3 linked regions of the Oryctolagus cuniculus genome follow. The protein of the gene in region 3 purifies or fractionates together with the protein of the main gene of each other region. This does not show direct contact. Links are inferred from orthologs where the notes say so. Each region holds a gene or a part of one and is shown on either strand. Other genes may lie near its edges.

What was found.
Region 1: the proteins of PTCH1 (region 3) and GRK2 purify together in Homo sapiens (affinity purification with western blotting; 3 studies listed by BioGRID and IntAct, with this or other methods). This does not show direct contact. The link is inferred for Oryctolagus cuniculus from reciprocal best matches to the Homo sapiens genes PTCH1 and GRK2.
Region 2: the proteins of PTCH1 (region 3) and CCNB1 purify together in Homo sapiens (affinity purification with western blotting; 3 studies listed by BioGRID and IntAct, with this or other methods). This does not show direct contact. The link is inferred for Oryctolagus cuniculus from reciprocal best matches to the Homo sapiens genes PTCH1 and CCNB1.

Annotation. Positions count from the first base shown.
Region 1 is NC_091432.1:4,741,656-4,745,299, reverse strand, and holds part of GRK2 (beta-adrenergic receptor kinase 1), read left to right. Parts: intron 1-990; coding exon 991-1,067; intron 1,068-2,520; coding exon 2,521-2,594; intron 2,595-2,663; coding exon 2,664-2,765; intron 2,766-2,846; coding exon 2,847-2,921; intron 2,922-3,003; coding exon 3,004-3,065; intron 3,066-3,481; coding exon 3,482-3,533; intron 3,534-3,644. UniProt on the Homo sapiens protein: Specifically phosphorylates the agonist-occupied form of the beta-adrenergic and closely related receptors, probably inducing a desensitization of them. Key regulator of LPAR1 signaling.
Region 2 is NC_091445.1:90,145,663-90,149,406, forward strand, and holds the start of CCNB1 (G2/mitotic-specific cyclin-B1), read left to right. Parts: upstream 1-1,343; 5' UTR 1,344-1,487; coding exon 1,488-1,508; intron 1,509-1,911; coding exon 1,912-2,082; intron 2,083-2,174; coding exon 2,175-2,327; intron 2,328-3,205; coding exon 3,206-3,388; intron 3,389-3,744. UniProt on the Homo sapiens protein: Essential for the control of the cell cycle at the G2/M (mitosis) transition.
Region 3 is NC_091432.1:142,102,780-142,106,423, forward strand, and holds part of PTCH1 (protein patched homolog 1), read left to right. Parts: intron 1-274; coding exon 275-584; intron 585-3,644.

The sequences.
Region 1 (3,644 bases), about 140 Mb from region 3:
CACAGGCAGGGAGCTGGATGGGAAGTGGAGCAGCCGGGACTTGAGCCTGCGCCCTCAGGGGATGCCAGGCGGCGGCTTTTTTTTTTTTTTTTTTTTTTGATAGGCAGAGTGGACAGTGAGAGAGAGAGAGAGAAAGGTCTTCCTTTGCCGTTGGTTCACCCTCCAATGGCCGCCGCGGCCAGCGCGCTGCGGCCGGCGCACCGCGCTGATCCGATAGCAGGAGCCAGGAGCCAGGTGCTTTTCCTGGTCTCCCATGGGGTGCAGGGCCCAAGCACTTGGGCCATCCTCCACTGCACTCCCTGGCCACAGCAGAGAGCTGGCCTGGAAGAGGGGCAACCGGGACAGAATCTGGCACCCCGACCGGGACTAGAACCTGGTGTGCCGGCGCCGCAAGGCGGAGGATTAGCCTAGTGAGCCGCGGAGCCGGCCCAGGCGGCGGCTTTACCCGCTGCGCTGCAAGGCCAGCTCCTGGCGTGAGAGACGCTCCGGCTGAGGCTTGGCTTTTCTGTAATGGTTAAGTGCTTCTCCCTAAGTTGCGGTATAATTCGTAAGACAGGACACTCAGCACCTGCCGCGTGCAGCTGGGGGGTCTCTGTACAAACGCACCCCGGATGGAGCCCTGCCCCTGTGGCGATCGCGCCCCCACCCCGCAGCCCGGCCACCACGAAGCTGCTGTCCACCGTCCCCGGGCTTGCCTGCTCCGGCGGCCGCATCACGCTTCCAGGCTCTGTCCATGCGTGTGCCGGCCTGTGCCGGCGCGGGACCCTTGGGGGGGCAGCCACCACGTGTGCCTGCCTGTCCCCTGGTGCGTGAGGCCTGGCCGAGTTCCCAAAGCCAGCGCGTGGCAGCGGGAGGCCACCTGCTGGCCACCCTGGCCTTTGGGGCCGGAGCCCTGGCGTGCAGGCTCAGGCTCCCGCGGAGCCCCCCGCCCCACCCCGACCCCCGCTGGCTGTGCTTTGGGCCCCGCCCACCGTGCCCCTCTGCCCGCAGCATCCGCAGTGTCATGCAGAAGTACTTGGAGGACCGGGGCGAGGTGACGTTTGAGAAGATCTTCTCCCAGAAGCTGGGTGAGTGCCGCAGCCCAGACCCCTGCGGCCGGGGCTGGGAGCATCCCCACAGCCAGGCAGCCCTGTGGCGGGCTGTGACCCCTCGTGCCTGTGTCCGCGGAGCCCCGTGGTGGGGGTGGGGCCCGGCCGTCCTCCAGGGTCGCCGGGGAAGTTCCTCCTTGAGGTTTTTGTTTTTGAGAGTTGCAGCTTCCCCTGGCGCGGCCGCAGCTGCTCTGGGCGGTTGGTAGGACTGGCAGGAAGAGGCGGGGCCCTTCCTGTGGGCCTGCCGCTGTGGCCAGCCCGCCCCGCCCCCACGGGCCCTCGCAGCACCCTGCCTTGGCCCGGCTGCCGCCGGCTTCCTCCCCGGGGCCTGTGCGGGTCTGGGGAGCATTGTGCGGCCGCCCTCGGGGCTGCGGCTCCAGCCTGGCACAGCTCCGCCCTGGCCTCTCCCCGAAGACCCCGGCTCTGAACCGGGGGTCCTGGGCAGGATGGAGTGTGGAGGGCAGCTGGCGGGGTCGGGGGCACTCCCTCGAGTTCCCAGTCCCGTGCTGTGTGACCCTGGGCACGGCGCTTCACCTCTCTGAGCCCGATGATGACATCCCCTGGGAATGGGACTCAGCCCCCCCCCCCCCCACTGCCAAGGACCCGGGGTCGGATCAGGTGGTGTCAGCCGTTCCAGGAAGCCGGCCACAGCTTACCCCAGGGCTCCACTGAAAGGCCCGGCTGCCCTTGCCAGAAATGCTGGCCACAAGTCCTGATGGAGGTGCCCAGGCGGTGGAGGGTGTGGACGGCACCGGCCACGGCCCCCAGAGGCACAGGAAGTCCCCAGCACAAACCGAGTCGCCCTGTGGGCCGGATGCCCCTGAGGGGGCGGGGCTGCCCTCAGCCCTGCCTGTCCCGGGCAGCTGCTCAGGGGCCTGCGCGGGGGGGGGGGGGGGGGGTGAGGACGTCCTGTCCAGGACCTCCTGCGGCCCATCCTGTCCCTTCACCCTCCCATGCCCCTGGCACAGAGACCATCACCCTTTGGCCTGTCCTTCCCGGTGACCAGCCGCCGGTCACCTCGGCACGTGCCTTGTGATTGACAGGGCTCCCTGTGCCTCAGTTTACCCAACCTGCCCTCACTGCCTGTTCCTCTGGGCTGCCGTGAGGATGACCCCGATGACAGAGGGAGCGAGGTCGGGGAGAGGGGCGCAGCCTGACTTGGCTCAGGCCCCCAGACGGGACCTCGGCCTCTGTACCTGCACACCCCAGCCTCGCCGTGGGTGGTCAGGCTGCTGGACTGCATGGGGGGCGGGGCCCAGGCCTGCCGCCTGCCCCTGTGCAAGCACGGGGCCCCGCCCAGCCTGGAGTCCAGGGGCCTTCAGGGTGGCGGCACCGCCTCTGCTGTCCCCTTGGCCACTTTGATCCAGGGGGCCCCCCCACGCCGTCTGCAGCAGCGCTGTGGCTCACTGGCACCCCACGCGCTCGCTTCCAGGGTACCTGCTGTTCCGAGACTTCTGCCTGAACCATCTGGAGGAGGCCAGGCCCTTGGTGGAGTTCTACGAGGAGGTGCGGTGGGCCTGCCCGGGGAGGGGGCGGGGCCGCCCCGGGGGACTCACGAGACCCCCCCACCCCCAGATCAGGAAGTATGAGAAGCTGGAGACGGAGGAGGAGCGCGTGGCCCGCAGCCGGGAGATCTTTGACTCGTACATCATGAAGGAGCTGCTGGCCTGCTCGCACGTGAGTGGCCCCGGCCGGCCCGCGGGTGGGCGAGGGAGGGCGAGGCCCTGCGAGGGCTCACGGCCGCCTCTGTCCCCCCAGCCCTTCTCCAAGAGTGCCACCGAGCACGTCCAGGGCCACCTGGTGAAGAAGCAGGTGCCTCCGGACCTCTTCCAGGTGTGTGCTGGACTCCGGGGGCGGGGCTGGGCCTGCCCCCCCAATCCCGAGGGGCAGTCACCAACCCCAGCCCCTCCCGTAGCCCTACATCGAAGAGATTTGCCAAAACCTCCGAGGGGATGTGTTCCGGAAGTTCATCGAGAGGTGAGTGGGGGGCTGGCATGGGAGGGCGGGGCCGGAGCCAGCCTGGGCGCTGTGAGCATCCGGAGGAGCACCCCGAGCTGGGGTGCTGGGGGTGTAGGCGGAGTCCAGCTGGACGCAGGGCACAGCATCTGCCCGGCTCAGTGGGCTCTGGCCGGAGGTGCAGGCACGGGCGGGTGGGCCCCGAGCAGGCCGTGGTGGCAGGAAGTCTTGGGTGGGCGGCCGCCTGAGCTTATCTGGTCCCGGCAGGAGCCCACAGCACAGCTGTGCGGCCCCGGAAGAGGACGCTGAAGCGTGGGGCGCTGTCACACCCACCCGACGGGACCCCCGGCAGGGGCAGGGGGCGGGGGCAGGCTTGCGCCAGCTCCGAGCTGCGCTGCCCTCTCTGAGCCTGCCTGAGCCGGGCGCTTCCCTTCCAGTGAGAAGTTCACCCGATTCTGCCAGTGGAAGAACGTGGAGCTCAACATCCACGTGAGTGGGCGGGGCGGGGGCGGGGCGGGGGCGGGCCCAGGGCGTGCTTGAGGGGCGGGCCCAGGGCGCGCTTGAGGGGCGGGCCCAGGGCACGCTTGAGGGGCGGGCAGC
Region 2 (3,744 bases), on a different chromosome or scaffold from region 3:
CTTTGGCACCACAGAGAAGCCGATCACATGACAAAGCATATGGGATAAGGTCTAACAAAGGGGCCAGCACTTGCTACCTGCAGTTCCAGCATCCCATCTGGGTGCCAGTTCGCGTCCTGGCTGCTCTACTTCTGATCCAGTTCCCTGCTAATGTGCCTGGAAAAGCAGTGGAAGATGGCCCAAGTCCCTGGCTCCTGGTTCAGATCAGTGCAGCTCCGGCCATTGCAGTCATCTGGGGAGTGAACCAGCGGATGGAAGACCTCTCTCTCTCTCTCTGCTTCTGCCTCTGTCTGTAATTCTGCCTTTCAAATAAAATAAATAAATCTTAAAAAAATGTTAATGACAGTTAAATCTGGGTAAAGGGTGCAGGGATGTTCCTTATAATTGGGTGTTTACAGCTGTTGGATAGGATATTTTTTCCAAATAAAAAGCAAAGCGACTGGCTTTGGGAAACCACGCAAGCTTTCAAAAACCAACTAATCAGAAGCAATATGGCAAGTTGACATTCTTCACATTTTTTTACTTATTTGAAAGGCAGAGTGACACACACAGAGAGGGAGAGGCAGCAGTTATCTTCCACCTGCTGGTCATTCCACAAATGTCTGAAGGAAAACCGTATGGGAACTCCATCCTGGTGTCCCGCATGGGTGGCAGGGCCCAGGCCCGGGGCTGGCCCAGCCTGGGCAGCAGGCGAGATGGGCGGTGGCCTCTCCAGCTGGACCCATCAGCCCCGAGGCGGGCATTCTTGAGAGACAAAGTCGTGGGAAGAAAAAAAATCACAGCTCCACAAAGAAAGGCAAAAGCAAACCACGGTCACCCAAACACCCCTGAGTTCCGGCCCCGCGCGGCGAAAGTCGCCGGGTCCCCGGGCTTCAGCGCCGTCCACCCCCGAGGGCCGCTGCAATGGTCACCTCAGGGCACGCACGGCCATGAAAGCCTGTGGTTAGCCCGAAGGAATCCCCGCTGCCACCGTGGAGGCAGACCGCGTGCACCGCCACGCTGGACTGCAGCCGGAGCTGCTTCACCCGCTGCGGGCACCGCGCACCGCCCTCCCCCGACCCCCGTCGCAGCTCAAGGCCAAGGCTCCGCGGCTCCGCTCCGGCAGCCCAGCCGCGCCCTCCCGCCCCGCTGCCCCGCTGCCCCGCTGCCCCGGGCGCCCGCGGGCCGCAGCCCGGTCACGTGGGAGCCGGGAGGGGCCCGCCGCGGCCGCGCTCTGCGCCCGCCCCCTCTCGAACGTCCTCGCGCGGTCGCCCTGGAAACGCATTCTCCCGGCCCCGGCGCCCGCCAATGCGGAGGGAGCGAGTGCCGCGAACCGGCCAATGAGGAGGAGCGGAGCGGGGTTTAAACCTGAGCAGGGGCCGGCGCCTCCCGGCGTGCTGCGCAGGAACGGCCGGCTGTTGGCTTGTGGAGGCTTCTGGTCCGCGACGGGTCGGGGCCTCCGGTGTGCTGCGTGTGCCCGCCGCCCGCCGCCTGTCGAGGAGGAAGCCATGGCGCTCCGCGTCACCAGGGTGAGTGGCGGCTTGCCTGCTCGGCGTCAGGGGGCCCTGGCGCGGGCCGGGCCGGCGCCCCGGGAGTGGTGGGGAGCCCGGGGCCGGCCCAGAGGGAGGCAGGGGGCCGCGGAGGTCCGGGAGGTTTGGGGCTGGAGAGAGGGCCCTGGGGAGCCCGGAGCGGGGCCTTTCGGTTTCCTTTCAGATGTAAATTCGGATGTCTTGGGGCTGGCCGGCACTTCATTGGAAGCCCCTGGGTTGGCGAACGAGGGGGTTCTGGGAGGAAGCGGACTTGCTGGGGCCGTGGGCCGGACCCTGGAGCCCTTGTTCCCCGCTCGAACCCGTGCCCAGTGCCCCGCCCTGCGAAGAGCCGCCTCTCTTGTGGCCCACCTTCATTATCCCGCGGTTGACTTGCCTCTTTCAGAACACGAAAATTAACGTGGAAAACAAGGGGAAGATGACCATGGCAGGCGCCAAGCGTGTGCCTGTGGCCACCGCTGCAGCCTGCAAGCCCGGGCTGAGGCCCAGAACGGCCCTGGGAGACATTGGTAACAAAGTCAGCGAGCAGCTCCAGGCCAAAGTGCCTCTGAAGAAGGTAGCCGCCCCTCCGCCTCCCGCCCCCACCCCCCACCCCTCACCCCCAGCCCTGGCCTGCGCAGGGGCATCCGTTCTCTCTCTCGTCTGCAGGAAGCCAAAACTCTACCTACTGGGAAAATCCCTGCTAAAAAACTCCCTAAACCTTTGGAAACGGTGACTGTACCGGCATCTGAGCCGGAGCCGGAGCCCGAGCCCGAAGCTGAGCCTGTTAAAGAAGAAAAACTCTCGCCTGAGCCGATTCTGGTAAATGCATTCTACCCGTTTAGAGGCTGTTGATTGCTTGGGATAGCATTTGAATAAACAGTGACAGTAGCAAGTAGTGAGTGCGTCCCAGGAAGCAGGCTGTGCGGAGCACCAGGCAGGCACGGACTCACACGGCCTTTACATGCACACAGTCTTCACAGGAAACGCCCGCCGTCTACATGTCCAGTCTCGGTCCAGGCGTCCTTTGCCTTCATCCCTCGAAACAGCTCAAGCATCAGCTCCTGAAGTTTTTCCTGTCCTCCCCCACCCCCACTCCTGTTCCTGGACTCGGTCACCTTATTTGTCTATACTAAACTCAAAGCCCTTTGGGGATGCCATTAAGTCAACGCTTAGTACAGAGTCTGACTTGAAAAATGCGCTTGGAAAGTGTTTGAACAATGGGGTAAAGATGGCTAGAAGGAAATGGTAACTAGTAATGAAAATCAGTTAATTTCTGGTAGTCAGGACAGAACTTGTATTCTGAGTAGTGAGAAGCAGTCCATGTTTTTTAGCAATACAAAACCAATGTCTTTTATTTGGATTGATTTCATATGATGGTGGTAGGTTCACATACATAGGTGTCGTATAATGGTGATATAACGGTTAGGTTCATTACCTAACCGTTTCCTTTGGAGGAAAGTCTAGGACGCGATTTATTTGCTTCTCTTTCACCTGTTAGTGTTTATGTTCTGCTGACTTTAACTTGGCTAAGTCTAAGTTGATGTTTCACTTTTGATATCACTTCCTAAAAAATATAATACATCTGGAAAGATACTTTTCCATTAAGGAACTGAATTATACGTCAGTTGTCTGATCTCCATTCCCAGTCGTGGCATGTGCTCCTCTTTGCTGTTGCTTAAGACATGTCTCTGTTCCAGGTTGATACTCCCTCCCCAAGCCCGATGGAGACGTCCGCATGTGCGCCTGCAGAGGAGTATCTGTGTCAGGCGTTCTCGGACGTGATTCTTGCAGTGAGTGATGTGGACGCAGAGGATGGGGCTGATCCAAACCTTTGTAGCGAGTATGTGAAGGATATCTATGCATACCTGCGACAGCTTGAGGTCAGTATTGCTGGACTGTTTTTTCCCAAACAACAGCTAGCTTTATTAAAGATGTTTTTCTATCAACAGTCCATAGTAATTCAAGCAGGATATAGGCAGTATTTCTTTGTTTCTATTTTTTTTAAGATTTATTTATTTGAAAGCTTACAAATAAGAAAGATTTTATTTATTTGAAAGTTACAGAGAGAGGTAGAGACAGGGAGAGATCTTCCGTCCGCTGGTTCACCCCAGATGGCCGCAACGGCTGGAGCTGTGCTGATCTGAAGCCAGGAGCCAGGAGCTTCCTCCGGGTCTCCCACGTGGGTGCAGGGGCCCAAGGGCTTGGGCCGTCTGCTGCTTTCCCAGGCCATAGCAGA
Region 3 (3,644 bases):
CAGCCTGAGGCTCTGCTGCTGTCTGCCTGCGGCCCAGCAGGTCGGCAGGTGGCTCAGGGAGGGAAATGCATTAAAGCGTGATCAACGACGTCGTGCCTCCCAAAAGACGCAGTGCATTGAGGGGTTGGGGCCGTGTGAGTGAGCTCAGCTTCCACAGGGGTCCCGTCTCCTGCAGCAAGCATCCGTGTCCGTGCGGAGCCCACCCCGGCCTCTTCAAGGAAGACTCGGTGCTGGTCCTGTGGGGTCTGACCGCGTGCCTTTCCCTGTGTTGCAGGTCGTGGTGATCTTCCTTTTCCTGGGCCTGCTGGGGGTCAGCCTGTACGGGACCACCCGAGTGAGGGACGGGCTGGACCTCACAGACATCGTCCCTCGGGAGACCAGAGAGTACGACTTCATCGCCGCGCAGTTCAAATACTTCTCTTTCTACAACATGTACGTGGTCACGCAGAAGGCCGACTACCCGAACATCCAGCACTTGCTGTACGACCTGCACAAGAGCTTCAGTAACGTGAAGTACATCATGTTGGAGGAGAACAAGCAGCTTCCCAAAATGTGGCTGCATTACTTCAGGGACTGGCTGCAGGGTAAGACACAGCCCGGGGTGGGGCCTCTCGGCCATCATCCACAGCGCCCCGCATTCTGTTGTGCGTTGGGCTTCCGTCTGCTCCTTTTGTCCCTGTTACTAAAGTGTTGGGTCATAGTGTCACGCTGACACGTTTTCACAGACTTCCAAGTGTTGCTTGGAACCCAGGAACTTCCGTAAGAATTTGTGGGTACATGTTAGGAAAGGGGGGACAATCATGTTATAAAATAAGGAGCCAAATGACTTCTGTTGCTCTTGTCCTTCGGGCTGGTGGCCTGTTTGGTGACATCTATTTGAATGGCAGACTGATGGAGATAGAGAAAAAGAGGTCTTCCATCCACTGGTTCACTCCCCAAATGGCCACAGCAGTCTGAGCTGGGCCGGGCCAAAGCCAGGAGCCAAGAGCTCCATCCAGGTCTCCTACATGGATGGCAGGGGTCCAAGTACTTGGGCCATCTTCTGCTGCCTTCCCAGGCACATTAGCAGGGAGCTGGATCAGAAGCAGAGCAGCCAGGACTGGAACTGGTGCTGCACTATGGGATGCCGACGTCACAGACAGTGGCTTAACCCACTGCACAAAGCCAGCCCCTCATTTATATTTGAACAGACTAGATTTTTAGAGCAGTTTTGGGTGCACAGTACAATCTGAGTGCAAGGAGCGCTCTCCATCTGTCCCATGCACAGCCCCCCTCTGCCATAAGCAGTCCTCCATCAGAAGGGGCATTTGTCACAATCCAGGAACCTACACTGAGGCTGCATTATCAGTCACCCCAGAGCCCATCGTGTGCATTCAACTTCCTTTTAACCATCTTGGATTTGGCAAGTGAAGTCAATTGATAAATGCTTGATCACACTTCACATTAGGTCATAAATCATCAAATCCTGTCCTAAATGCCTTTCTTGGCTTCTTATCTTGCTCTTAGAAACGTTTCTAGGAAATGCTAGTCAACTGGAGAAGAACAGAATTGTCTAAATCCGCTCCTGACTGCTGACTGAACACAAACGTGTTCTGTGATTCCAAGAACATCTGTTCATTTATTCTGTGTTGACACATGCACGGTGAAGGAGAGACTTGGGATAATTATCCACACAGTTCAAGCAATGATGCTTTTACTGGAATACCCAAATAATTATGGCCCCAACATTTTTTTTGGCTGAGATTATCCAAATGATTGTCTTAATTTCCCACTTAATTAGCCTTGTTTAAATACAGATTTAAGTGCCCTTTTTTTTTTTTTTTTTTTTGGTCTTTCTTAAGTCAATACACAATTTGATTGTAAAGATTAAGCAGTTTCCATGTGAGCTTGCATGATGTGGCAAACAAGTTGAGTCTGACCAAAAATGGTTCAGTATGGTATCTGGCCTTTACTTAAGGTTCCTAGGATTTTTTTTCCAAATGTACATGCCAGATTTGGCTGATGTGTGGTGGAAGGTGAAGAGAATATTGTGTGCCGTGATTATCGTCACGCAGCCTGCTCATCAGACTGACTTGAATGTGTTCCAAGTGTTAACTTTTTTACACTTAGTTTTGAAAGCAATGGCTTTTGGGTCATGAGTCAGGAAAGAACCAGAGATTCCTTGGTTTTCATTTCATTGACCAAATCATGCAAGTAATGTGCCACCAGTGACAAAGACCTGCTGGGTGACGCCAGTCCCAAGCACCAGAGCCGGCCCTTGGCGGCCCAAGTCCAACAACGTGGCGATTGGGCTTGAAAATCCTTTTATTTTTTTCAGATGCATTTGAATCACGTTTAGATTGTTAAGTGGAGCAACTGGACCTGTGTGCTCAGGACTCCCTACACCCAGATCAGATCCGGGGGCCCTTGGCTGCTTACCCATCCTTTAGGCTTCTTGCGTGGTTGGCTTGGTCTGTGAACATTTCCTCCCAGGAAGAAATTAGCCTGGAGTCAGCTTCCCTGCCAGACGATTTCCAGTGGTGGTTCAGTGATGGAAGCCTCTTTGGTTTTTTTAGTGGAATCACCATTCAAACCGTGTCACCTCATTGGTCTTGATCAACATCATAGCAGTGTTTGAGTTCACTCATAGAAATAACCTGTGTGACATCTTGGACCATGCATGCAAATGAGAAGATGTTAGAGGGAGAAAGCCATGCTGTACACCTGTGCAAATGCCATTCATTTATATTTCTCATTGAATTTCACAAATGGAATTTGGAGGAACATTTTCTCTTTAGGATCCTACATTTGAAAAAAAAAAAAATGGACAATTGGGATAATTCCTTAAGCCAGAACTGTATGCCAGAAACTAGTTTTTAGTACACATTATTTATAATGAGAGACGCTCCAGCTGTGGTTATAAGGTTTTGCAGTAAACTGAGTAGAATCGCAGTCTTTTGCTGGCAGCCCACGGTCACCTCTCGTTCTGGGTCCAGGCTCAGTGCATGCACCTAGGTCAGCCTGTTGTCCCTTGAGCTTTCTTGTCGCTGATCAGAAAATGTGAAAATAACCCTGCAAGGTCCTGGATGTTGGCGTAAAGTCGAGAGCTCGCTCTTGGTCATCTTGGAACCTGCAGTGAAGCGTGTTGGTAATGAGTTTTGACCAAGTCGCCTGCAGGGTTGCCCTATCCAGCTCTGGTCTTTCTTCCTTTCTATGACAAGTCCGTGGTGTCCCAAAAGTCTTGGAAAATGCCTTAAAACAGCCCTTGGATTCTGGGGACCCTCTGGCCCCGGATGTTGTGGGTGCCTGAGTTAACTTTGTTAAGCTTGTACATGTCGTCAGTGAGTGCTTCTTGGGCACCACGGTGCATCCGGGGCACTGAGCAGTTTGTGCCAGCCCTGGCATCGGCCTGCCTGGTTTAAGCCCAGCTCCGACATTTCAGAACCTCACCTTTCTGGCCTCAGTTTCCTCATCTGTAGAGTGGGAATGCAAAACCACTCATGGGATCGTCAGGGGCTCTCTGTGCGTGAGCTGCCCTTGGGATTCAGAAAGGACCAGGGAAATCAGGAAGTGATGAAAATTCTTTTATGGAGAAGAAAACAGGCCAGGCCTCCCTTTTAGGGGTCTGGGGGGAGGGAGCGGTTGTTTCTCCTCTCCTGTTTATT